Mus musculus: one gene and its partners. The main gene of each other region encodes a partner of the protein of the gene in region 2 in a complex. Links are inferred from orthologs where the notes say so. Each region holds a gene or a part of one and is shown on either strand. Other genes may lie near its edges.

The links. Proteins that work in one complex are often made in the same cells at the same time.
Region 1: Dhx16 (region 2) and Cwc15 share a complex: the UniProt entries of both Homo sapiens proteins name them as parts of the minor spliceosome. The link is inferred for Mus musculus from reciprocal best matches to the Homo sapiens genes DHX16 and CWC15.
Region 3: Dhx16 (region 2) and Cript share a complex: the UniProt entries of both Homo sapiens proteins name them as parts of the minor spliceosome. The link is inferred for Mus musculus from reciprocal best matches to the Homo sapiens genes DHX16 and CRIPT.
Region 4: Dhx16 (region 2) and Cwc22 share a complex: the UniProt entries of both Homo sapiens proteins name them as parts of the minor spliceosome. The link is inferred for Mus musculus from reciprocal best matches to the Homo sapiens genes DHX16 and CWC22.

What each region holds. Positions count from the first base shown.
Region 1 is NC_000075.6:14,498,444-14,504,723, reverse strand, and holds the start of Cwc15 (spliceosome-associated protein CWC15 homolog), read right to left. Parts: upstream 4,106-6,280; 5' UTR 3,943-4,105; intron 2,809-3,942; 5' UTR 2,801-2,808; coding exon 2,670-2,800; intron 1,911-2,669; coding exon 1,798-1,910; intron 1,127-1,797; coding exon 1,038-1,126; intron 1-1,037. UniProt on the Homo sapiens protein: Involved in pre-mRNA splicing as component of the spliceosome. Component of the PRP19-CDC5L complex that forms an integral part of the spliceosome and is required for activating pre-mRNA splicing.
Region 2 is NC_000083.6:35,888,339-35,893,871, reverse strand, and holds the end of Dhx16 (pre-mRNA-splicing factor ATP-dependent RNA helicase DHX16), read right to left. Parts: intron 5,518-5,533; coding exon 5,450-5,517; intron 4,675-5,449; coding exon 4,512-4,674; intron 4,434-4,511; coding exon 4,272-4,433; intron 2,958-4,271; coding exon 2,784-2,957; intron 1,454-2,783; coding exon 1,325-1,453; 3' UTR 1,202-1,324; downstream 1-1,201. Other genes in the region: 2310061I04Rik (uncharacterized protein C6orf136 homolog), read left to right, coding at 763-832, 906-1,019. UniProt on the Homo sapiens protein: Required for pre-mRNA splicing as a component of the spliceosome. Contributes to pre-mRNA splicing after spliceosome formation and prior to the first transesterification reaction.
Region 3 is NC_000083.6:87,023,475-87,029,665, reverse strand, and holds the start of Cript (cysteine-rich PDZ-binding protein), read right to left. Parts: upstream 4,106-6,191; 5' UTR 4,007-4,105; coding exon 3,991-4,006; intron 1,968-3,990; coding exon 1,902-1,967; intron 1-1,901. Other genes in the region: Pigf (phosphatidylinositol-glycan biosynthesis class F protein), read left to right, coding at 5,774-6,001. UniProt on the Homo sapiens protein: As a component of the minor spliceosome, involved in the splicing of U12-type introns in pre-mRNAs. Involved in the cytoskeletal anchoring of DLG4 in excitatory synapses.
Region 4 is NC_000068.7:77,942,252-77,948,402, reverse strand, and holds the start of Cwc22 (pre-mRNA-splicing factor CWC22 homolog), read left to right. Parts: upstream 1-2,046; 5' UTR 2,047-2,253; intron 2,254-2,257; exon of another isoform or gene 2,258-5,293; intron 5,294-6,151. UniProt on the Homo sapiens protein: Required for pre-mRNA splicing as component of the spliceosome. As a component of the minor spliceosome, involved in the splicing of U12-type introns in pre-mRNAs. Promotes exon-junction complex (EJC) assembly.

The DNA of each region.
Region 1 (6,280 bases), on a different chromosome or scaffold from region 2:
AAAAGTACTCAAATATCATAATTAAAACCAATAACCATTAGAAATATAATAAATAAAGCCCAACAACAAATTATGAATGCTTACGAAAATGTCAACCCCTGATAAAGTACCTTTCGTATTTACATGGTCAAAAAGGATTTTCACATGGTACCAATGGAAAACAAGTACACTTCACAATAAAACACGGTACTATGTTCACTGTCTCACCCTGAAGAGCTAACGTAGTTTCATGTAGCTCAAAATGACTAAGTTAGCAAGAGCAACTGCAAAAAGGGGTGCTAAGATTCCAACAGAAATATTTGGAATGAACAACTGAATTTCACTTACTGTAAGACTTCTCATTTTAATAACTATCAGTCAGTTCTAACTGTTGACACATATACGCAATTAGATGCTACTCAAGGAAGGTCACTCATGCCTGCTCAGTTGCAGTCGGAAGTCAGGTGTAGTCGACTACTCAGAAGGTTGAGGTACGAGGCAGGAAGGCTGTGATTAGTAGACCAGCCTGAGCTACATACAACTGAAAAGGCAGTTGTGTCCCAGTGACTGTTTATGCTCTATCCGCTTAGACTACTTACCTCTCTAATCACTAAGGGGCCTATGAGCACTAGGTGTCTAACAGAGCATCAAATCAAAGGGAAATAAAGGGCAGTATCAAGTACAATGCTCAATGGTGCTGTTCAGAGGGCACTCATCCTGACAGTGTTCCGTGTGGTTAAAGCAAGGCAGCTTAACCTCCCGCACCACTGATAATGCTGTCAGGGGTGGGCATAGCCGCTTTCACAAACTGCTTCCACATAGCCCCCCAGATGAAACCTGTCCTAACAGTGTTTGACATAGAATACTTCCTGTTTTAAAGTTGAGGTCAGTGATATATTTCCATAACATAAAGCCAAAATGTATTAAAGTTTTTTTAGGAAAATATGATATGGTGGGCCTAATGGCAGAGGCCCACAGTTCTAGCACCAAGCGGGCTTAAAACAAGCAAGCAAGCAAACAAACAAAACCTAGCCCAAACCCAAAACTAAAACACATACGTCTGTGAGAGGATCGTCAGCATCAAGGTTGGCAGCAGGAATCTGGTCTAAGCGGGGCTTCTTTGACACTGAAGAGGAAGTTGTATGCTCTGAAGAAAACAAACACTTACTTAGCATATTGAAATAAGTACTAGAGTGGTTTTTATTTATTTATTTACTTATTTATTTAATGAATACACCATCATTACTCTCTTTTAACACACTGGAAGAGGGTACCAGACCCCATTACAGATGGTTGTGAGCCACCATGTGGTTGCTGGGAATTGAACTCAGAACCTCTGGAAGAGGTGGTGCTCTTAACCACTGAGTCATCTCTCCAGCCCAAGTACTAAATTTTTAAAACCATTTTAGAAACCTTTGGGCAAAAAGAATCCACACAAAGCATAGTGACACCCGGGATCCACCCTGTGACTGGCAAGTAAGTCTTTGATAAATATTTGTTGGTTTACACGAAATGAATTAGTGAGAATGCAGATCACAGCATCTTAGGAGACCTACCCAATGCTCACATGTAGTAGAAACACAAAAAGGATAACTGATGCTTCTCTCAAAACTCTTCAATTACATTCGGTGTCCCAGACAGAAGGCCTAGTATCAATGCATGATAGTATCAATGCATGGGACTGGAACAAACCTCATTCTCATCTCTAATCATTCATCAAAGAGATACAGCTCACAAAAATGCTACTTATTTCCAATTACCAGGATACACACAGTTTCTGCACACAACTGAGACAGACATGACGGACAGTACGGGTACCTCGAGTTGGGCGGTCCCTGTTTTTGTCCCTTGCAGCAGCTCTCTCTCTCTCTTCCAGTTCTCTCCTGAAGTCACGGTTTCGAACCTCTTCAGGGGCATCCTGTGTGGTTTGTCTTAAGTAGGAAAAACAAAACAAAACACGTCAAAAATGTTGGCCTCACTTGTCAAGGAAAAGAACCTATATAGCTTCAACAATTTAAGACAATCCAGAATGTAACTGTCTGTCAACAACAAAAAGGAAGAAGATAAGACAATATCCCAATCTGAGGGTTAATACACTCGTAGTGTTCCTTATCACTAGAACAACAAACTAAAGCACACAATTGCCTACAACAGAATGTCTTTGGCTTTTAAAAAAAAAGATTTATTTATTTTATGTATATGACTACACCATTGCTCTCTTTAGACACACCAGAAGAGGACATCAGACCCCTCCGATGGTTGTGAGCCACCATCTGGTTGCTAGGAATTGAACTCTGGACCTCTGGAAGAGCAGTGCTCTTAACTGCTGAGAAATCTCTCTAACCCATGTCTTCGGCTTTTTAAAACAGTCCACCAATTCAAGGGCTGTTAGAGCAACACTTCCATATTCACTACAGCTCCGTCTTCTCTGATGTGATTATCATGACTAATGAGTGCTTCATCTACACATAGCAATTCCTGGTTCAAAGGAACTTATGCTGGAAGACTGTCTAGCAACTTTACCTGTAGGGCGTAATTTTATTGTAAACTTTTTTGAAATACTTCTCTTTGGAGATCAGTAACCTAAATACTATAATTTAGACATGACCATAAGTCATATATATACATACATATATATAGAGAGAGGCTTGGTCCCATTCTGTGAACAAGACAAATGAAGGCCTTCTTACCTGTACTTTATCTTTGTATGAGAGGGAAGATCTCTGCTTGAATACTGCTTGGAGAGCTGGCTCAAATCCCCTTCTCCTTTTCCTCTCCCACCTCTTGCAGGTTCAAAAGTTGGCCTGGCTGCTGTTGTCATCTTTTAGTCTTCGGCAAAAGTGAATTTAAGTTATACTTTCATTTTACAGATAACTCAAAAATATCTATTCTTAAATCCTTCTCAAACTCCCCAAAATTGCTTAGTTTGCTTCAACACAAGTTCCTAAAAATCCGAATTATGAAACTCAGGGTGTTTACTAGGCAACTCTTATTCAGTATAAATAACTACTATGAAGATCTGAGTTAGTGCTTCTGTTCTGGCTGGGTAGCCCTGGGCAAGTCTTCTAGCTCGTTTCTGTCATTTGTGGAATGCCGACATTTCTATAGTATTATGAGATTCCCATACATGATGTCAGATCTTGCACAACAGTGTAGTGTAGCTTTTAAAATAAATGACTTAAAAAAATGTTATCCCACTAGCACTAGCTTCTCTGAGATTTTATTTTATTCTTTTTTAAAAAAAATTTATTCTTTTTTTTTTTTTTTTTTAATTATAGGATCTCACAATGTAACTGTCCGGCCAAGATTTGCTGTTCTACCAGAAACCTCACACTACAGCAAAGAACCCAATAAAAAACAAATTTCTTTTAAAGTCACAGTCAAACTTATTATGTTAAAATTTGTTTAAAGTCCCCAGTGACATTTACATGGGCAACCATTACCCCAGAATCTTGTTGACTCAATTTTCTTCTAAAGCAGTTACCACAACATTTATCAAGGCTGTAACTTCCGCGATGCTCAGAAAATCGGAACTCCACCCAACCAAGTATCAAGAACCCATCCTGAACTGGGTATGATGGGGGTACTCCTGTGATTCCAGAGCTTGGGAGGTGAAAGCAAAAGAATCGGGAGTTCGAAGCTAGCCTAGGCTACAAGAGAACCTTTGCCATTTTTAGCTGTCAAATAAGAATTGCAGCCTAACTGCAGGGCTACTAAATCTCCGTTAGCTTAAGCAGCTGCTCACACAGATCGTGTGTGAAGTGGGAGTTTCTCCCCATCCCACCCTCCTTTGCTTTTCTCAGTGTCTGAGGCGCTGCACCGGTGACCGCCCCGGGCTCGGCTTCAGCTCCGGACCACCATCCCTGCACCGCGGCCTGTACGATCGTCACGGGCTGCGGCGGCGACTCGGCTCCCCGGTGCCACCCACACAAGAACCACAAACCACCATGCCCGGCTGCTCACTCTGGCGGGGGTCCTACGCAGCACCTTCCGAAACTCACTCATGAACCAATGCGACCCTTAGCTCCCAGAAATCTCGGCGCCGGGGGCGCCAGGCCCAAGACCGGAAACAAAATGCAGAGCTTCCAGTTTTTACACCAGGGGCTCGGTTGAGACCCGGAAGCAAAACCTTCGCACTTCCAATGGCTGTGGAGAAGATGCGAACTCCACACCCGGAAGCAATTCCGGAGTTGTGTGTGTGTTTTTTTTTTTTTTTTTTTTAAACCGTCTCTCACAGGCTGACGCAGTGACCAATCAGCAAAGACACGGGAAAAAGATGGAATGACGTTGCCTAGGGGCGGAGCCAAGGCAGCTTAGGGGGCGGGCGTTTGAAACCGGTGCTTCATAGTCGACCCCAAATATCATCTTTTTTCCTTTGCGAACCAATTACTTAATCTCTCTTGCGTCTTTTCCTTTCCCGACCCCCTCCCAGACTCGTTCGCTGCGGTTCTGCGAGGACGGAGGCGCCAGGAGCCGGTCCGCGTCTCGCAAGAGAGATGTGAGGAGAGCTTGCCAACTGACCGACCCAACGGCTCCTGCTCCTCAGTAGACCCCGCAGCCTAGGGACTAGAGTTGTCACTTAAGTGGATATGAAGAAGGCGCAAATAAGTACGGGGGCAGCCACGAGCTTTCCAAAGGTACCATTCCTGCGAAACCACTAGCCTTGAAGGCAAGGGTTATAGTCGCATTGCTTGTTAAGATATATAAATATATAGATATATAGCTATATGCATTAAGCGTTGTAGCGTGAGGGGAGATGCTTGTGAGCGTTTACGATAGTGACAATTTATGGAGCAGTGGGCCTAACTGCCAGGAGGAGCACGAGATGGGATTAAGATGGCTTCGCCAACGTTGTCTTGTGCCCCATCATTGAGATCTTGGGGACGGCCGATGCTCGGTAAAGAGGATTCTGTTCTCCAGTTTATCTCAAGTGGAAGGGTCTCCTAAAATTGAACATTTCCGTTCTTTTCTGTCCTTCCTTTGGAACTTTTAAATGAAGAAAGAGAATTAGAAAAGAACCCACTCCCTCCCGAATGTGCCCGCTCCCCAAGTAGAAGGTGAAAGCTTCATATTTTTGCCCTGAGCCTCACACAAAGGACACCGCTTTCACATTAGTGACTCAAACCCAAAGATGGAGACCCTCTTCCTTCCCTCGTCACATCCTGTTCACCTGCCACTCTTGTCCAGTATTGTGAAAATTACCCTGAAGTTCCTTTGCTTGTCACCACACTCCTTCAGGCCACTGTCATTTCCTCTTGATTTGTAATTGCTTTCATAGGGACTTTCCTAGTTTTGCACAAACAGAGTGATTTTTTCAGATTACCAGGTAGTGGTTTTGACACTTAGGATAAAACAGCCTCTTGCTTTTACTTACACAGTCTGCCTCCTGCCTGCCTTTAGTCACAGGCACACCACACTCAAGATACACTCAACTGGACATTTCTGTTTCTTTCAACAAGGCAGGATTCCATTGTTTCATTTGAGTTTTGAGCCAAGCTCTTACAGTGCAGCCCAGGCTGGCTTTCAACTTAAGTTCAGGCATGCATTCATCTGTTTTTAAAGACTTGGGACTGTGTTCTTCACCTCTGCCTCCAAGACACCTGTAACTCGGTTCTTCAGGGCATAGCTTAGTGCTGCTTCCTCTGTGAGGTTTCCCCTGACATCTCTACTGGTCCCCACTTCCTCCCTTGCAAAAGTGTCTTTATGGCACCCAGTTCTATATTTCCATAATGCTGAACTCTAGTTGGGTTTACTCTTTGTTTATATTACCTCATGCACTTTTTTTCTTTGTGGTCAGAGGCAAAGTATTGAGACTAAGTATCTATTTTCTATGAGGCTCTCTTGGTTCTAACCCCAGTTCTGCCCTCCTTAGCTATGCACAGTTGGGCAAATTATCTTTCCTCTCCTATCTTCCATCCCTTGTGCAAAAAGTAAGGGTGATTTATTTTTATTGTTACCATGGTAATTACATCACTTTGTAAAGTGCTTAGAACTATCTCAGCAAGTGACTTTGTTGAGTCAGATTTGGCTGTTACTAATACTATTACGGTCTGACTAACCTTAGAACCTAAATTCCAGTAAAGCAGGAACCCTGCCTCTCTTCACTAGTGGCCTCTACATATAGAGCAGTACACCATACATGACAGAGCTTGAGTAAATACTAGTTAAGTGAATGACTAACATGTTATAAATACAGGAATGAAATTGCAGTGGCAAGATGGTGACAGGAAATGCTTACTTTTTATATTCCAGCTGACTTTATCAACTCAATAAGTCACCACAGTCCATTTGACTTTGAATT
Region 2 (5,533 bases):
CACTTCAGAAACCAGTGAGCAAAAACACTGTGTCCTGAATTTAACTCTAGGTAGAGTACGTGATTAAGTTTCTGGATGGTACATCCCCCAAAATTATTAGGCTCAAGCCTCTAACATTGTACTTAAACATTTAAATGACTGATACCTGGGCGGGTGAGATGGTTCATTGGGTAAAAGTGCTTGCCTCCAAGCCTGACAACCTCCATTCAGTACTTGGGTCCCACGTGATGGAGGAGATGACCGTTCATTGTCTTCTGTACTGGCACATGCACTTAAACAGGTCCTGCTCTGTACTAGGCTCCTTGGCTTCCCCCAGATGGTTCCTAGGTATGAGACAAAGTCTTGTGCCTCCCTCTGCTCAGTCTCCAAAGCCACAGCCAGCCTCAGTAGGAACACCTCACCCTAAGAGAATTTCCTGTCCTCTGTCCTTTCTAGCTGCCCAGCCCTGAGAAGAGAGAGCCAATAACCCAGACAGAGGCAGGGGAAGGAAAGTCAGGTTCAAGAATAGGATAATGAAAATGGACACTTTGTACACGAATCTAAAACAACAAAAAGACTAACTGGGAGGAACCAAGTGACTCATGAGCTTAGCCCTGATCTTTGGTCCTCTTGGTGGCCTATTGACACTGAAAACACAAACACATTTACATAAAAGAAGGGGGAGACAGGCTTGCTAGGTCCTGGGAAGATTTGTGTTGTGTGGAGGGCCTTCGGTCTGACTGTAGCTTACCTCCCTCTGCACGATGCCTCTCCCCTTCCCAGGACCTTCGATGCCTTTTCCACCTTCTACCTGAATTCCAGTGGCCTCATCTGTCGCCATCACCTGGACAAGGTGAGTGTTGGGAGGGGTAAAGGGTAGAACATGTCTGTGTTCCTCCCCAGCCTCCATTAACCTGTCTCTGCAGCTGATGCCTTCACACTCACCGTCGACGCCTGTGAAAAAGCTGCTGGTGGGAGCCCTGGTGGCCCTGGGGCTGTCAGAACCAGAGCCCAGCTTACACCTGTGCTCCAAGGCCTGATGCAGACGTGGGTGAAAGGCTGCACTGAGGACTGCTACGCACAAAAGGAGGTGGGGGTGGACGAGAATGTCCAGAGCCAGCCGCCACCCTCCACTCTCCTTCCTTCTTTCCATCATGCTGGGTAAAGCTGCTGTGTAATTTAACTTGTAAATAATAAAGTTTAAGCAATGACATAAGGCAGGTTTTCACGTCACTTTCTCTGGGTTCCAGAGTTCCCATGCACTTCATTCCAAAAATAATTTTATTTACTAGATATTAAAGTATGGAAGGAAAAAAGAGCTGCAAGGTTTGGTCCATGTCACTCTCTAGCCCAGCTCTTCTCGTGTCTTGCCGACTTTTTTGGGCATTTTCTTAGCATGGGGATCTTCTAGCTCCTTGGCCTTATAGTAGTGGGGAGCCACTTCCAAAAGCCAGCTGCTTTCAATCTCCAGTACCTGTAAGAGGGAGCAGAAATCAATAGGGTTCCTTTACTTCCAAATCAGATTTTTTTTTTTTTTTTTTGGTTTTTCGAGACAGGGTTTCTCTGTGTAGCCCTGGCTGCCCTGGAACTCACTTTGTAGACCAGGCTGGCCTCGAACTCAGAAATCTGCCTGCCTCTGCCTCCCAAGTGCTGGGATTAAAGGCTTGTGCCACCACACCCGGCTCAAATCAGAATTTTAATTGTGTGGTCTAAAAAGGATCCTCTTCCCCACTGACTCAGGACAAGAAAAAGACACCCGGTCCAAAAACAAAAAAAAACAAAAAAACAACTCAGGAGGCAGAGGCAGGCGGATTTCTGAGTTCGAGGCCAGCCTGGTCTACACCTGGCTACTTCTCACTAGCAGGGCAGACTGACCCTGACATGCGCTTACGTGAGCCTGAGAAAGACCTGCAAGGAAGACAGGACAGACTTCAGCTGCTTAATGTGTGGTATGGCCCAGTACTTGGTGCACATTTTATTTATTCCAGAACCAAGGGCCTCATGCTTGCTATACAAACATTAATTTCCTCAGCTCTGCCTGTATTTTGTCCATATTTTTAAAATTTTTATGTACATTGGTGTTTTGCCTGCACATGTTTGTATACTACTTGTCAGATCCCTGGAACTGGAGTTCCAGGCAGATGAGCTACCATGTGGATGCTGGGAATTGAACCAGCATCCTGTAGAAGGGCCGCTGCTAGTGCTCTGAATGAGATGAGCTGAAGATCCATCTCTCCAGTTATGTTTTTTTTACTTTTGATATATGTGTCTATGCATGGATACCATGCCTGCAGAGGCCAGCAGAGGAAGTCAGGATCCCTGCAGCTGCACTATATGCACTTGTAAACTGCCTACCATGTGGGTGCTGGGAACCAAACCTGGGACCTCTGCAGGAACGGTGAGTGCTCTAAACCACTGAGCCATCTCTCCAGCCCACACTTTCATTTTGAGGAAGCGTCTATGTTGCCTCCATAGACCTTGAATAGATGACCCTCCTGCCTTACCTTCTTGAGTACCAGGGACTTCAGACTTACTCCATCAAGCCCAGCTTCAAATATTTACTGAGTTATAATTCTCAGATCTTGGAAGATTTCCTATATTTACTTGTAAAGGTGCTGAGGACTATACCACTGAGCTCCAACCCAAGCAAACATTAAACCTAATTTATATCTGATTACATTTGACCCTACTTTAAATTAATGGACCTTCATGTTTCCATGCCAGTCCCATCCACATGAATTGAATTTAAGATGCCAACATTTGTCCCCCATTTCCACACATCTGAGCAAGCAATAGTCCCTTACTTGTCTCATGAATTCCTTTGTGGTCAAGACAAGCTCATGGTAGAGCAACCAGCGTGGCTGTTGTTCAAAGAGAGAGGAGTTGGGATGAATAAACACTGTCTGCTGCTGCTTCACTGTGCGGTAGCCGCTCCGAGTCAGCCTCGCAGTGTGGTAAAAATAACCCGAAGTGATGGCCTAAGGAGCAGGCAAGAAAACCAGGTCAGGCACCACTAAAAAGGTGAGGACTCAGTGAAGGACCCACTTGATGTGCTATCTAGGGAAGAATGGGCTCCAATAAACAATACCCTGGAGAAACCGAAGGCCAGGAAGCTGCTGTGGCCCCTCAGTAGTGGATTCAAGAAACGCTAGTCTGAAGCCGCACACCTTTAATCCCAGCACTCTGGAGGCAGAGGCAGGTGGATTTCTGAGTTCGAGGCCAGCCTGGTCTACAGAGTGAGTTCCAGGACAGCCAGGGCTACACAGAGAAACCCTGTCTTGAAAAACCAAAAAAAAAAAAAAGAAGTGCTAATCTGGAGATGCAGTGATGTGAATGAATGAAGTATATTAACAGTTTCTTCTGAGTTTGAAACATACCACACTGCTCTTTAACCTGCTTCAGGAAGTCCCTCCTGCTAGAGAAAGCTATAAGTGTTGTGTCCCCCTCAGACAAATCAAACTGCAGAGTCTTTTTTTTTTTTTTTTTTTTTTTGGTTTCTCGAGACAGGGTTTCTCTGTGTAGCCCTGGCTGTCCTGGAATTCACTTTGTAGACCAGGCTGGCCTCGAACTCAAGAAATCCACCTGCCTCTGCCTTCTGAGTGCTGGGATTAAAGGCGTGCACCACCATGCCTGGCCAAACTGCAGAATCTTGAGATCTGACCAGCTGCTTGGAAGAAACAGAAACCAATGAAGTTAGCTAAAAGAGGTGTAGACCAACCAAGTCACTTGGAAAGGACACCTTCCAACGTGATGAGGAGCCTGAAGCTGTGCGATGTGATCCAGGGCGCTCAGCTTTTGTGAGCAGCCACCTATACTGGGATGGGCTTTGGTGATGCTATCGTTTAGACATTTCTGCAAGTAACCCAGTAATCCCCCACCCATATTGCTATAAGTAAACCAAATAAACTTATTGGTTCATCAAGTTAGACTTTGGTGGTATTCGTACTTTGGTCTGTCATGGGCTCCCTATCTGGGGTGAGAGATGTGTGTAGGCTCTCCTCAGGAAAAGTTTTGTCACACAACAAAGTGACTCCTGCAGGTTGTCCATTGACTTACACATGCACTTACACATACACATGAAAGAAAAAATGGGATGCCAGGTGGTGATGGCACACACCTTTAAACCCAAAACATGGGAAGCAGAGGCAGGTGGATCTCTGAGTTTAAGGTCAGTTTGGCCTTCAGAGTGAGTTCCAGGACAACCAGGGCTGCACAGACAAACCCTGACTTGAAAAAAAAAAAAGAAGAGCAAATAGGAGAAAAAAGAAAATAACAACATCAAAAACACTGACCTTTCTCACACGAACGTAGTCACCTTGGCAAGAAGTCAAGCCAACTTCCACACGCTCCAAGAGCCCCTCCAGTTGTTCCCGCACATCCCGGGCTCGGCGCATGGATCTGAACTGTACAAAGTTTTCATAGCACCATTGGGAAGAGTAGCCACTCTCAGCCCACTGTGAAGATGAAGTGCCTTAAGTACACAGCAGGACTCAAATCCCCCAGACTTCCCAAATTTCCACTTGCCCAGTGACCTGTGTGTACACATTTAGCAGAACCAGGTGGTCTCCACCAGGGAGGAAGAAGTTGACACGGGCATTGTCGGCATGGACAACCTTATCCTTGGGCCGGTAGAAGATGGAATTGTTGACAGACAGCATAGCAGCCACGGTCAGGATCTCTTCTGAACAGCTATACCTTGAGCGGGGTAGGAAGAGGATAAAGCCAAAGAGAAACCGCAAAAACCAACTGAGAGCAGACACAGATCCTGATCCCAAACACAGCAGGGGAACATCTTCTTCTTTTCTAAGACTTACTGTGTGTGTATAAAAGTTTTGCCTGCGTGTATGTCTATGTGCCACACGCCCAAGGAAGTGAGAACTGGAGTAACAGATGGTTGTGAGCCACCATGTGGCTGTTGGGAATTGAACTTGGATCCACTGCAAGAGCAACTAGTGTTTTTAACCACTGAGCCATCGCCCATCCCGGATGTTGTTTAAAGGCAGTCCCATACAGACCTAAGAATCAAGTTTTAGAAGCTGCAGCCTTCCCAGCACCCATCACACACACAAGGGCTTCTGCTTCCACCCATGCTCCTGGGTTTTACTTTATTAATTGGTTTGTTTTCTGAGGCAGGGTCTTACTATGTAGCCCTGGCTGGCCTAGACCTCAGGGATCTGCCTGCCTCTGCCTCTGTGCCTCTCTCTCTGCCTCTCTGCCTCTGCCATGACTGCTTGTCTCTGGGTTGTAGCTGCACTATCCATTGTGCCCACCAACAATCACTGTAAGGTACAGGACAGTGATTCACATGGGCCTCATAAGGGATGGTAAGACTTCTTAAACAATTTTTATTAAAACCAAACAAACAAAAACAGTAACAGCATGATAAAGAGTCAAGGAGAGAGAGAGGATACTTGAGACTGAGGAAGCATGGCCAGTTTGTGCCAGGAACTGGCTGGGTGGGAGGACTTACTTCTCGGAGGCCAAGATCATTTTAGACAACATGGGATCCACAGGCAGCTCTGCCATCTTTCGACCAGACTAAAAAGAAGAGGGA
Region 3 (6,191 bases), about 51 Mb from region 2:
CCCAGAAAATACTTCCCACAAGATTTCACCTCAGTGATGCTGATCTCTTCTTAATCACTGCTAATTTCTTAGCTCCAGCTAACCAGCATCAATTGTCCCAGTAGTTCCTTCCATTCTTAACTCTAGAGCCAGAGCCACATGGCTGAAGCTGCCAAGTTCTGTTGCTTGCAGGAACTAGAACATGACCCGCTTGTACTATTACATTATCACTGGCTTTATGTTTTCCAAATCCTTCACTGCCTAAGCTTGGCTATCCTGGATCTTGCTCTGTAGATTGACCTTGAACGCAGAGATCAGCATGCCTGTCTCATGGGATTAAAGGTATGTACCACCAGGCCTGGATCTAAATTTAGCTGGTAGGATCTTGCCCCAAGGTCCCACTCCCTTAATCTGTTATTTCCTAGAACACAGGTTTTTGCTCTATTTCACTTCCTAGTATGCCTTTAATACTCGAACCATATATTTTATATTTTTCCTTTCTAAGCTTGCTATGCTTGTTCAAACTTCTCTTTATGAGACTTAACCAGAGAACAAAGTCTCTGCTGGGCTTTTTTGGAACTTCCTTTGTCAATGCAATTAATCTGAGTCTCTTCACCTTAGCCTCAGGCAGACTTTTCAGACAAGGGCAAAAAGTAGCCACATTCTTCACCAAAATACCACAAAAACAGTCTTTATGCCACATACTGAAATTCTTCTCCTTTGAAATCTCTTGGGCCAGGTCAACACAGTTACTCCCAGCAACAAAGTCTTCCAGATTCCTACTAGGATGACCCACTAAGCCCCATTTAAAGCATTCCACTGAGTTCCAAATCCAAAGTCCAAAAATCCACATTCTTTCAAATAAAAGCATGGTCAGGCCTATCACAGCAATACCCCACTCCTGGTACCAACTTCTGTCTTAGTTAGGGTTTTACTGCTGTGAACAGACACCATGACCAAGGCAAGTCTTACAAAAAAAAAACCAAAAAAACAAAACAAAAAAAAAACAAACATTTAATTGGCGCTGGCTTACAGGTTCAGAGGTTCAGTCCATTATCATCAAGGTGGGAGCATGGCAGTTTCCAGGGAGGTATTGGTGCAGGCAGAGCTTAGAGTCCTACCTCTTCATCCAAAGGCTGCTAGTGGAAGACTGACTTCCAGGCAACTAGGGTGAGGATCTTAAGGCCACATCCACAGTGACACACCTACTCCAACCAGGCCACACCTCCCTGGTACAAGAATATACAAACCATCACAGACCCTTATTGTAATTTTTAAAAATCTTCATATAATAGCCCAGTTTTTAATGAACACTGTATAATTGCTTTATTGTTCAGTCTTAAAGTAGTGCTTTGACAATGCCTACACTCTTTTTGTATGTGTAACATCTGTCTACTTTGGTTTTTTTTTGTTTGTTTGTTTGTTTTGTTTTGTTTTTGTTTTTCGAGACAGGGCTTCTCTGTATAGCCCTGGCTGTCCTGGAACTCACTTTGTAGATAGACCAGGCTGGCCTCGAACTCAGAAATCCGCTTGCCTCTGCCTCTCAAGTACTGGGATTAAAGGCATGCATCACTGCACTGGGCTTTGCTGTATGCGTTTAATAAAAAAAAAAAGTAAGGCAGTCTAAATTTGTTTGAGAATGTAAAACTTAGATGTGGGAAGGAAATGTAAACACAGACTTTACCAATCTGAATCAAATAGACATACATTGAAATAATAATTTTACTACTTCTTGACTATATGAGGAATCCGTACATGTAACTCAGATGATGAAGAAAGATGTGCACTCCCAGGAGAACCGAGCCCTCGGTGTTTACTGGGCAAGGTAATCAGCATCTAACACTGCACTGTGCAAAATGTGACGCACCAGAGCAGGGCCACAGCGCTTGACCCAGCTCCTGTCTCCTAACAGCAAACAGTACCTGTGGTGTTCCGGGCACCATCTTTCCATGTGTCTGGAGTGATAACTCTGCCGAGTTTCTTTTCACCTGTGGTCGCCAAGACAGCAAAAGAGAACAGCTGTCATCTAATAAGCAAACTGTGTGGAAATAAAATAACAAAACCCATTTCTTTGCTAACTTTACAATAATAATTTAAAATGATAAATATATTGTATCGCCTAAAGTACATAACGATATGAAGTCAGATTATAGGAGGAACCTACTAATGCCAGGGTAGAAACCAATGAATGAAAACTTAAGATAGTAACAGTGGGCAACAGATACTGGTTCTAAATAAAACTTACAGGACAAAACGATGCTCTAGTAACAGGCTTTAACTGATTATACTTTAAGCAGTTCTGACAAACTTATTCATTCCTCTCTCTCACATTCTCTAATCACCTAGTCTGTACAAAGCACCATGCAAGGTTCTGATGAAAACAAAGCAATTTAAAATGATAAATATATTGTATTTATATGCTCCAAATGGACAGTTACTTAGTACTGTTTAAGTAGGGCACTGTTCAGGGTGGAGAAGAGCACTGGATGCTCAGTGGTATGGATGTGCCAGCTGAGGCCAAACAGTCCTCAAACACCTAACAGAACAAGGAAAAGAAAGCACACTGAAACCAAACTCCCTGGAACTCAGTAAATGCACAACTGGAGAACACGTACGTGCCAAGTTCTAAGAGGTAACTCTAAAAAATTGGAGAAAAGTAACTTTCTCGAATAATGTGTGATACAAGGGAAGACTGAACTGAGGCGGCTGCTGACATTACAGCTTCTGTATGCAAGTACCTCAGTTTACTTACGGGGTGCATGCAATGAGCAGACAGACTGAGAGGCTACAGATAATAAGACCTTAGATTTCTCAGAAGAGCAGAGGAAATGACCTTTCAGGGCACAGCACAAAGGACGGCTTCACAATCTAAATACATTTAAGCCACATTTAATTAACCATTTATCCCACTTTCGAAAAGAATAAAAAACCGTTTAAGAATGGCACAGCTCTGGAGGGGTGTCTGTGTCCAGAGTTCTACATACTGAGGGGCTATGAACAAAATGGGTCCTGTATATCCGCCAGTAACTGAGATGTGGGTTGAATCTTGTCAGAGAAGGCTGTCTAGCCCATGAAAGAGATCAAGAGAAGAAAGTTGTTTTTAAACGAATCATCAGCTTTTGCAGCTACCAAAAAAAAAAAAATTAAATATTTACAACAAATCTTAAGGGTTTCATTGGAATTACTGAATGGTAACTAAAAGGGTTAAAAAGACCTTTCTAAAAGCCAGGGGTGACTACTTAAAGATTTCTTTGGTGGTGATGAGACTCTCTCCTTCACCTGACCCAAAGCTGTGAGTATTAATGAATTGACGGGATGGCTCAAAATATCCAATTTAACTTAATTTCAGATAGCCACTGAAGTAATTTTTAAAATAAAATCTAGCCGGGCGGTGGTGGTGCACGCCTTTAATCCCAGCACTGGGGAGGCAGAGGCAGGCGGATTTCTGAGTTCGAGGCCAGCCTGGTTTACAGAGTGAGTTCCAGGACAGCCAGGGCTACACAGAGAAACCCTGTCTCGAAAAACCAAAAATAAATAAATAAATAAATAAAATCTGTATTAAATGCGGCATGTTTTGTAGTAAGGAAAAGCAGAAAGTCAAGATTTAAACATTATTCGGGACATATTAATAATACTGGAAATTAACCATTGCTTATAATCTTAAGATGTAACCGAGAGCCTGGAACTTATACTTGTGACATCTGTCAACTCTTGATGCTACCAGAAAGATCGTGAAGATCCGATTTAAGCCTCCGAGAGCCAATCAAGAAGTTGTAACGGAGGAGACCCAGAAGGGGCGCGAGGACGACAACAGAAACAAACACAAGAGGCGCAGAACTGAAGCCATTCTCAACACAGAGCGGAAGGCTATGCTTACGGGACAGGCAAGAAGGGCCGAGGGGCAGGGTAGGAAGACACCGGTTACGCCACAGACCAGCAGGGGAAAACCAGAGAAATCCCGAGAGAACTTCTCAGCCCTCCACCTCCCCCAGAAGCAGCCCCTGAACTTACACTTTTCACACACCATCCTTACATGGGGGTGTCCCTGTGCCCTCAGCCGGCAAAGCAGGAGCAGCAACCCAAACACAACAACGCCCCAGCGGAGACGACTTCCTCTTCCGGCTACGTCAGCCCGCTTCCGGACTCTCAGCCCTCCCGCTCCGGCCTATCCCGTACCTAGAAAGTCGCGGGAGGGATAAACGCGAGCTGATGGGCGGGGCTGCTCTCATTATCCCGCCCCTTCTCGTCAACGATTGGCTGTGCGCTTGTGAGTTCCCCCCGCCCCCTCGCTTTCTGGTCTGCGCCTGCGCCAGGGGCCATGCCAGCCTGTAGCACCTGAGGGTGGGAGGCGGTGGTGTCCCCCTTCCCTTCGGCGGGCGGGAGAGTTAGGTAAGCCGGTGGCGGGTTGCTTCTCACACTCGCCCGGGGCGGGTGCAGGTCGCACCGCCGACCGCTGCGGTGACTTCCAGGGCGCCACGCTTCCGGCGGACCAGAGGATGCCCTGCGCTACCGACCCTCTGAGATGCCGGCGTCTATCACAGTCTCTCAGGGGACTCCGACCTCAGGTCACCGGGTCGGCCGCACGGGCTCTCTCTATGATGGCGACCTCCAGTTGCCCACACTGCGCCGTCCGAGGCTGGGACGGAGCCACCTGGGTGGGGTGGAGCTGCGGTCCGCACCTGAGCAAAGGCTGCTCAGGAGGAGGGCTCGGGAGCAGCCAAGCCTTCCGACCCCGTTCTCACGGGATCGCGAGTCCCGAGGGCGGCTTCCCAGGTGTGGTGTCCTGGGTCGGGGACTCGCTCGCCGGTGTCACCTTTGCGTTTGGGTACCGCTCGCGCTCGCCGTGTTAGATGGGTGTTTGCCGGTGGCCTAGGATGGATTTCTGATCGCGCTTCCTGCCTGACCCCGCAGTGGAAGGGAGAATCTGAGAAACTTTCCCCAAGTCTTTTCACGGCTATGCGTTCTTGTCCCGACCCTGGAGGATTTCTTCTTGTTTAAAGAGGCGATGCTTGAAATGGCTTGTGCGTGTGTAACCTTGGCCGTATCTGCTAACTTGTTCATCCAGTTTTCTTAATCAGTATCATTTGCTTTTGAAAACGATAAGTGTGAATGAAATGAGGGCTAATAGCACCATGCCCAGACTTGCGCTTTTACCTTTCCTGCTAGTTCCTCACCCTGCGGTGTGGATGTTACTTTTTGGGCCCGATTTTTACTACATTGTAACATGTGTTACTTTTAAGTTCTTAATTAACTTTAGTCAGTATAACATAGAAACTGTTCTCTAGGTCAAATATATGTATTTAGAGACTGGAAACTATTGTTTCTCCTCCCACTCGCGTTCTGCTATTACCATTATTTAACATCTGTACAGACAGTGTGAGCCCTTAGTGTAGCATAATGACCATCTTAAGATGGTCCTCCACCATTTGCATATCTAAGTGTATACTTGGCTGTCATTTGGGAACTGCAGTGATTTTCGCCAAAAAAGTAAAATTAGTTGCTGGTGTCTGGCACATGTCCCCTTTGTAGAAACCAGTCACAAATATTTAAATTTTTACAGGAATTTTCTTTTTGAGGCTCTGAAAGATAATGTATACCATATTAGAGAAATCTAAAGTAACAATTAAAATCTGCATATGCTTGTTCTGTGTTTTGAAACAAATATGTTGCCCATAGAAAATTATTAATACATGGTTTATATTTAGAGTATTGAAGTGCTTGGGACAATGGAAAAAAAATCATTACATGTTTTTCTTAATTTGTTTTCTACTAGATAGCTACCCAAGAAAACATCATGAAAGATACTGACATCAAGAGACTTCTGTATACCAATCTTTTGTGCGTATTTTCAATTTTCCTAAGCATTTTCATTCCGTCCTTCTTCGTGGACAACTTCTCAGTATTGGAAGCTCATTTGACCTGGCTGTGTATCTGCTCTGCTTCTGTGACCACTGTCAATCTCTTGTCGTACTTAGTAGTGAAACCGAATGTGTCCTCTAAAAGAAGTTCATTGTCACATAAGGTAAGGGTCACTTCTGTTGCTTCACTGGCTTTAGGGTGGAGGTTACAGTGTAAGAAGGAAGTTTCGCTTCGTCCTTATTGAGTGATTTACAGTGTAAAGGGAACCAAGTCTCCCCCGCCCCCACCAGAGCAGTAGCCTGTTACCTTCCTACAGTGTTTGATAGATTCTTGCTGTGCATTCATTGTGGAAT
Region 4 (6,151 bases), on a different chromosome or scaffold from region 2:
TATCAAAACTGCTCTTTTAGAAACTCTAATACACAGTGAGGACCAGCTCTAGAATTTTATTATTCCCTTTGCTTTATTGATATTGTTGTTGCTGGTTTGATTTGCCTTGTTTTCTTTCTGCTTTTGACATGGTCTTGCTATGTAGCCTTGGCTGGCTTGAAACTCACTCTGTATACCAGGCTAGCCTCAAACTCTTAGAGAGCTATCTGCCTCTGCTTCCCAAGTACTAGTATTAAAAGCTCACTACGTAGCCTTGGCTGGCTGAGAACTGACTATATAGATCAGGCTGGCCTTGAACACTTGAACACAGGTCTGCCTCTTAAATTATGGGATTAAAGTGCCTAGCCCAGGATTTTTATTTTGTTTACACCCTGTGGGGGTTTGAATAAAAATGGCCCACATAGACTCACAGGAATTAGGAGGTGTGGCTTTGTTGAGGTAGACTTGGTGCAGTGGAAGGAAGTGTGTCACTGAGGTGGGCTTCTCAGATGCCCACGCCTGGCCAGTGTTTGAACGTCTTCTCCTGCTGTCTGTGGATCTAGATATAGAATTCTCAACTCCTTCTCTAGCCCCCCTACTACTTAGATGCCATAAAACTCCCCACCATGAATTCCACCATCACAATAATGGAATAAACCTCTGTTGTAAGCCAATTAGATTGGCTGTTTGTTTGTTCATTTGTTTGTTTGTTTGAATATAACAATTGCTGTAGTCATGGTGTCACTTTATAGCAGGAGAAACGCTAACAAAGTCATACTATCTCTAGGAAAAGGCTGAAAGCTCAATCACCCTAAAATTATAATAAAGAAGCAGAGCTTACTGCCCCAGGCATTTGATGCCAGCCCCTAGGAAGCAGAGCCAGGCAGATCTCTGTGAGTTCAAGACCAGCCTGGTCTACATAGTAAGTTCCAGGCCAGCCAGGGCTACATAGTGAGACCTTGTCCCTGTTTAAAAAATAAACAAAATTCTTGGAGAAGCCAGGCCTGGTTTACAAAATACTTTGAAATATAAAGATGATGTTGTTTTAGGAAGAGCTTTCCAATCACATTAGCATGCTCTTTAACACTTACCTTTTGGTAACACTGAAAATCAAAGACTAAGGAAACAGTATAATTGAGGCCAGTGCTCTAAACTCGTTACAGATTTCACATTCCAACCCTGAAAGTATCATAAATACAACTTGCTTCTTTTTTTTTTAATTTTTTAATTAATTAATTAATTTATTTATTTTCGGAGACAGGGTTTCTCTGTATAGCCCTGGCTGTCCTGGAACTCACTTTGTAGACCAGGCTGGCCTCGAACTCAGAAATCCACCTGCCTCTGCCTCCAGAGTGCTGGGATTAAAGGCATGTGCCACCACGCCAGGCAACTTGCTTCTTTTCTTTTTTCACCTTCCTCTCTCTCTCTCTCTCTCTCTCTCTCTCTCTCTCTCTCTCTTTCAAGACAGGGGCTCATTATGTAGCTCTGGATGTCTTGGAACACACAGTGCCAGTCTCAGCCTCCAAAATATTTGGAGTAAAGGCAGACACCACCATGTTGGGCCTCCAATTTACTTCTCACTGTCCTTACAACATATCATTTATAATCAGATAGTCTTCCATTCACTTGAATTTAAAATCTTGGAACTTAATAGATACTAAACATTTTGTCACTTTCCCCTCTTCTCCCAAACAGACTTTTGGTAAAGCTTCTGTCAAAAATCTGAAAGGGATCGCTACTTTTTTTATTATTTTCAGGCAAGGTATTATATAGTAAGCCTCTGCGGTAGTTTCATAGTATGTATCTTAGTGTTAAGCTTTTACACTGAAAAAAAAAAAAAAGAAAGAAAAGCTACGGTGTCTACTAAGAGCTACTTTTTATGGCTTTAGAAGATGAGTAGTGTTAGAATAAGAAGCATGCCTCGAAAACCTAGCTCTCAAAAGTGTCTCTAGTGTGACCTCCTATCCGAACGAACTACAATTCCCGTCATGCACTGCGGTCCAACTACAACTCATTTCCGTCCGCGCTGCCAGAGCATGCTGGACTTTGTAGTTCACTCGGACTCACATGTTCTTTTCTCGTGTTCTTTGTAAGGAATGACAGTGTTACTAGCTGGATTGCTTTGACTCAAGGTGTTACTATACCGCATTATCATTAATCGTATCACATACCTGCCAATTCACTACCAGTTTTTCACTAATTTCTCGCGCTACTTTCACCCGGGAAAGGGAACTGACGCTCTTCCGGTATGATGGCGGCGCGGTGGAGCTTTAGGTAATTACGGAACTCTGAAGACTCGGGATAGACTAGGAGCCAGAGTGGGGGCGGCGGGTTGCTAGGTCGCGTGGAGAGGGCAGGGACTTGCGAGTGGGCGCTTGCCCGGTGGGCCTTGCTTTCCTCATGTGGCTGCGCCGTCTCCACCGGCGGCCCGCGAGGTGCCGTGTGAGCCGGCTGGGCCTAGCGCCGGCGGCGGGGCGTGCGTGTCTGGGCCTTGGTCTGGGTTGTCGGTGAACACCTCTCCTGGGAGCACCCTGGGTCGCGTCCCCAGTCGGCGTCCCGGGGCTGGCATTAATAAATTCTGGTAACGCGTTTGCCTCATTCCAGCTTATCCCAGTAGCCAATTCTATTACATTTTCATTTATGGATCGTTTTCATTGACTTGACTGAACCCCTGTCATGTTTAGCCCTAGTGATCCATGTTTCGCATCTTCTGTGTTTAGGTCGCATACGTAGTTAACCTTAACTCTAAAAGCCTCTACTATTTGCAACTTCCAAACATGGGTTTGCAGTTCCTGCCCCTAGCGAGCTGCAGGCCCTACAGTACAAACAGCACTGTGCCAGCTGTTTGACCTGCTCTAAATGCAAGACTTTTTTGATACATTGTAGCCACTTAACTCGCCCCCCCGCCCCCCGGAAGAATAATTTGGGGAAAGGTATTAATAGAAACAGTAACTGAGCCCCGGCAAGCCGTTGGTGAGTTTGCCCAGTGGTTAAAAGCACTCTTTCAGAGGGATCTAGGTTCGATCCAAGCACCCACAAGATGGATCACAACAAATTATAATATCAGATTCAGGGGACTGGATACCTGCTTGCTGATAGCCACTTGCACCAGCAACTTGAACTGTCCCTATATGTATATGAAGGCAAAAAAGATCCATACATGTGAAAATGAGCTACCTTTTCTGTTAATTGTGCTCTGTATTTAAACTGCCTTTTGTTTATTTATTTTTCCTGTTCTCTGTGTAGTCTTGACTGTCTTGGAACTCACTCCTTAGAGCAGGCTGACCTCAAATTTAAAGAGTTCTGCCTGCCTCTGCTTTCTGAGTGCTGGGATTAAAGGTGTGGGCTAGCCGGGTTTAGACTGGTTATTTTAGTTGAGTCCTACCTTGTTCATGACTGGCCCAGTCAGACTCAGTCTGGAAATAGACCAGTTCCAGAAAGAAGTGATTATCGGTAATACAGCAGATTGGAACTAATGTCTTTGAGGGTTTTTCTGTCAGATTTCCCTTGTTTTCTCTGTAAGTCTGAAATTACTGCAGGAACTCTAGCCAGCTTGAATGTGGTGGACAAGGCTCTCCTTCCCAAGTCCCCGTGTCTTGTTAAAAACCGTTAGATCACATTCCTCAAGCTAGCCCCCAAGATCTGTTCCCTGATCTAACCTGCAGAGATCCAGCTATCAAAGCATTGAAGTCCAACAATCCAAAACCTCTCTGGGGTCAACTAATTGACATGCCCAATTTAAATTAAATACCTCAGCCTAACCCCTCTACCCGCTACGCTAATATTTTCCTATATGTATGTCTTCTCTCTATCCAGAGACAGTCCTTTGTTCCCTTGGGACAAATACCCCTTTACCCTCTCCCTTGTTCCCTTCCCCTTCTCCCTCATCCTAGTGTCCTGTCTTTGTCTCCTGTTTCTTGCCCTTTGTCCTTCTGGGGCAAATAAGTCTCCTTTGTGCAGAGAACACGCTCTTGGAGTGTCTTGAGCCAACTTTGAGGTTCCCTACAATTACGAGCAAGGGAGGCCGATGGAGCACTAAGGATTTCAGAAAACTCTCAGGCTTGTTAACACTTTTTCTTACACCTCCCAAGTAAACATGGGAGAAGACAGTTGAATGCTTACCTCAGCACAAACTTTGAAGACATTTTTTAAAATGTTTTTTTTAAAAAGATAGCACACATGGGCAGGGGAGTGGATTCAAACAAGCCTTTGCCTATCGTGCCATGTTAGTAAATGCCAGTGAACAGAAAGGAAAGAAAGTGTGGGGCATCCTTTTTTAGGAAAAGCTTCAATGATTAAAGAATTGATAACTTAGTAAGCGAGACCCAGAATTAACTGTTTTTAATCTATCTTTGAGCCTAACTCAGTAGTGGCTTAAGCCAGGCAAAGTTCAATACTTCCTCCTTGAAAATTTATCCTGTGGGTGCTCTGAATCACTTTACAAGGGGAGGCTCTTTCTAGATCAGAGCTTCTGTGATGGGTGGTCGAGCTTGGTGTCTAGAGGCTACATGGTAATATTTCCTTTACACCAGAATATGCTCAGAAGAAAAAAGTATACAAACATAACTTCTAATGATATGAAAGGTCATTTCTAACCAATCTGTGCAAGTTAGCAGATTTTGTTGACAAAGCTGGGGACCAGATTTGACTTGTGGAGTGCAGACACAAAGTATGAAGTGAAGATGAAGGCCTATGCTACATTCGGGTCCAGTTACCTCTTGGGCACACAGCATCTACTAGTGCTGCCTTGATGCAGATAATGACAGACAGCTTGGTGGCCCCAAGAATAAGGGGTAGAGGAATATTCTTTATGTGATGTCAAAATAACTTGACTCCTCTTCGGATCTAAGATAATCTAAAGTTACCTTCCTGTAGTGGCTATTCCTGGTTGTCAACTTGACAATATTTGGAATGAACTACAATCCGGAATTGGAAGGCTCACCAGTGACCCTTATCTGGAGGCTTGGAGATCCTTATCTGGATCTTGGTTTGAAGATCTTGAGCCATAGTGGCTATGGATTCCAGAAGATTGAATCTCCGAGTTAAGGAACACACCTTTAATCTGGGCTATGCCTTTCATCTGGGATTAAAGGTGTGGTGGAACACACCTTTAGGATTAAAGGTGTGGTGGAACACACCTTTAATCTGGGCTACACCTTTTGCTGGAGACAATATAAGGACATTGGAAGAAGGGAGTCTAGCTCTTGCTCTTGCTCCTTCGCCTGCTTGCTGCGTGAGACTGAGTAACTGCTAGATCCTTGGACTTCCATTCACAGCTGCGACTGAACCATTGTTGGGAATTGGGCTGCCGACTGTAAGTCATCAATAAATTCCTTTACTATTTAGAAATTATCCATAAGTTCTGTGACTCTAGAGAACCCTGACTAATACACTTCCCCTTACAAAACTTTTAGATTTTGAACATGTTATGTATCTGGTACTATCTTAGCTTTGTGTGTGTGTCTGTGTGTGTGTGTTTATGTCAGTGATTGAAAATTTCAGAGATTTGCTGTATCCATAGAAGGCCTTTCATGATTTAGCTTCGTGAGTCTCTTAGGGTCCACATCATTTATGTTCATTTTCTACGTGCTTCCTTTACGGGAATGACTTGAAGTCATCATTCATTTGTTTGTTAGTTTTAAATGTCTTTGAGCCTGTATGTATGTGGGCCCCTGTCCCTTTTCGTTCTGTATGGATAGAATTCCTACTTATCCTTTAGGACTTGGCATTGGTACCTCCTGTTTTTTGTACACCTAGCAATAGTGTGTTTGTAGCATAGCTACAACATCTAGACATTCCTCTACCTAAAGGTTAAGAACATTCACCTTTTGATGTCTTGTGTGTCGTGTAATGTAAATATTACCTTCCTATCCACAGCTGCTGTTTTTATCAGAAAGACTGTATGGTATAGCCTCATCATTTTGAGGTCCTGTATTTTGTATTTTCTCAGTTGTTACAGTCTCAAAGAGACTCTTCTGCACAAATAAGCTTGAACAAATGAAGAAATATTGGGTTTATGATTAGAAGCACTAAAGTGTTTCGTTGAAAGGCACGAATTGTGGTGAGGATGATGGTCTTTTTAAATTAATGTTTTCTTTGGTCTTTGTTATCATGAAAATGGGTAGAAACCTGCGTTTAAATCAGTAGATCAAGAGAAACTATAATGACACTA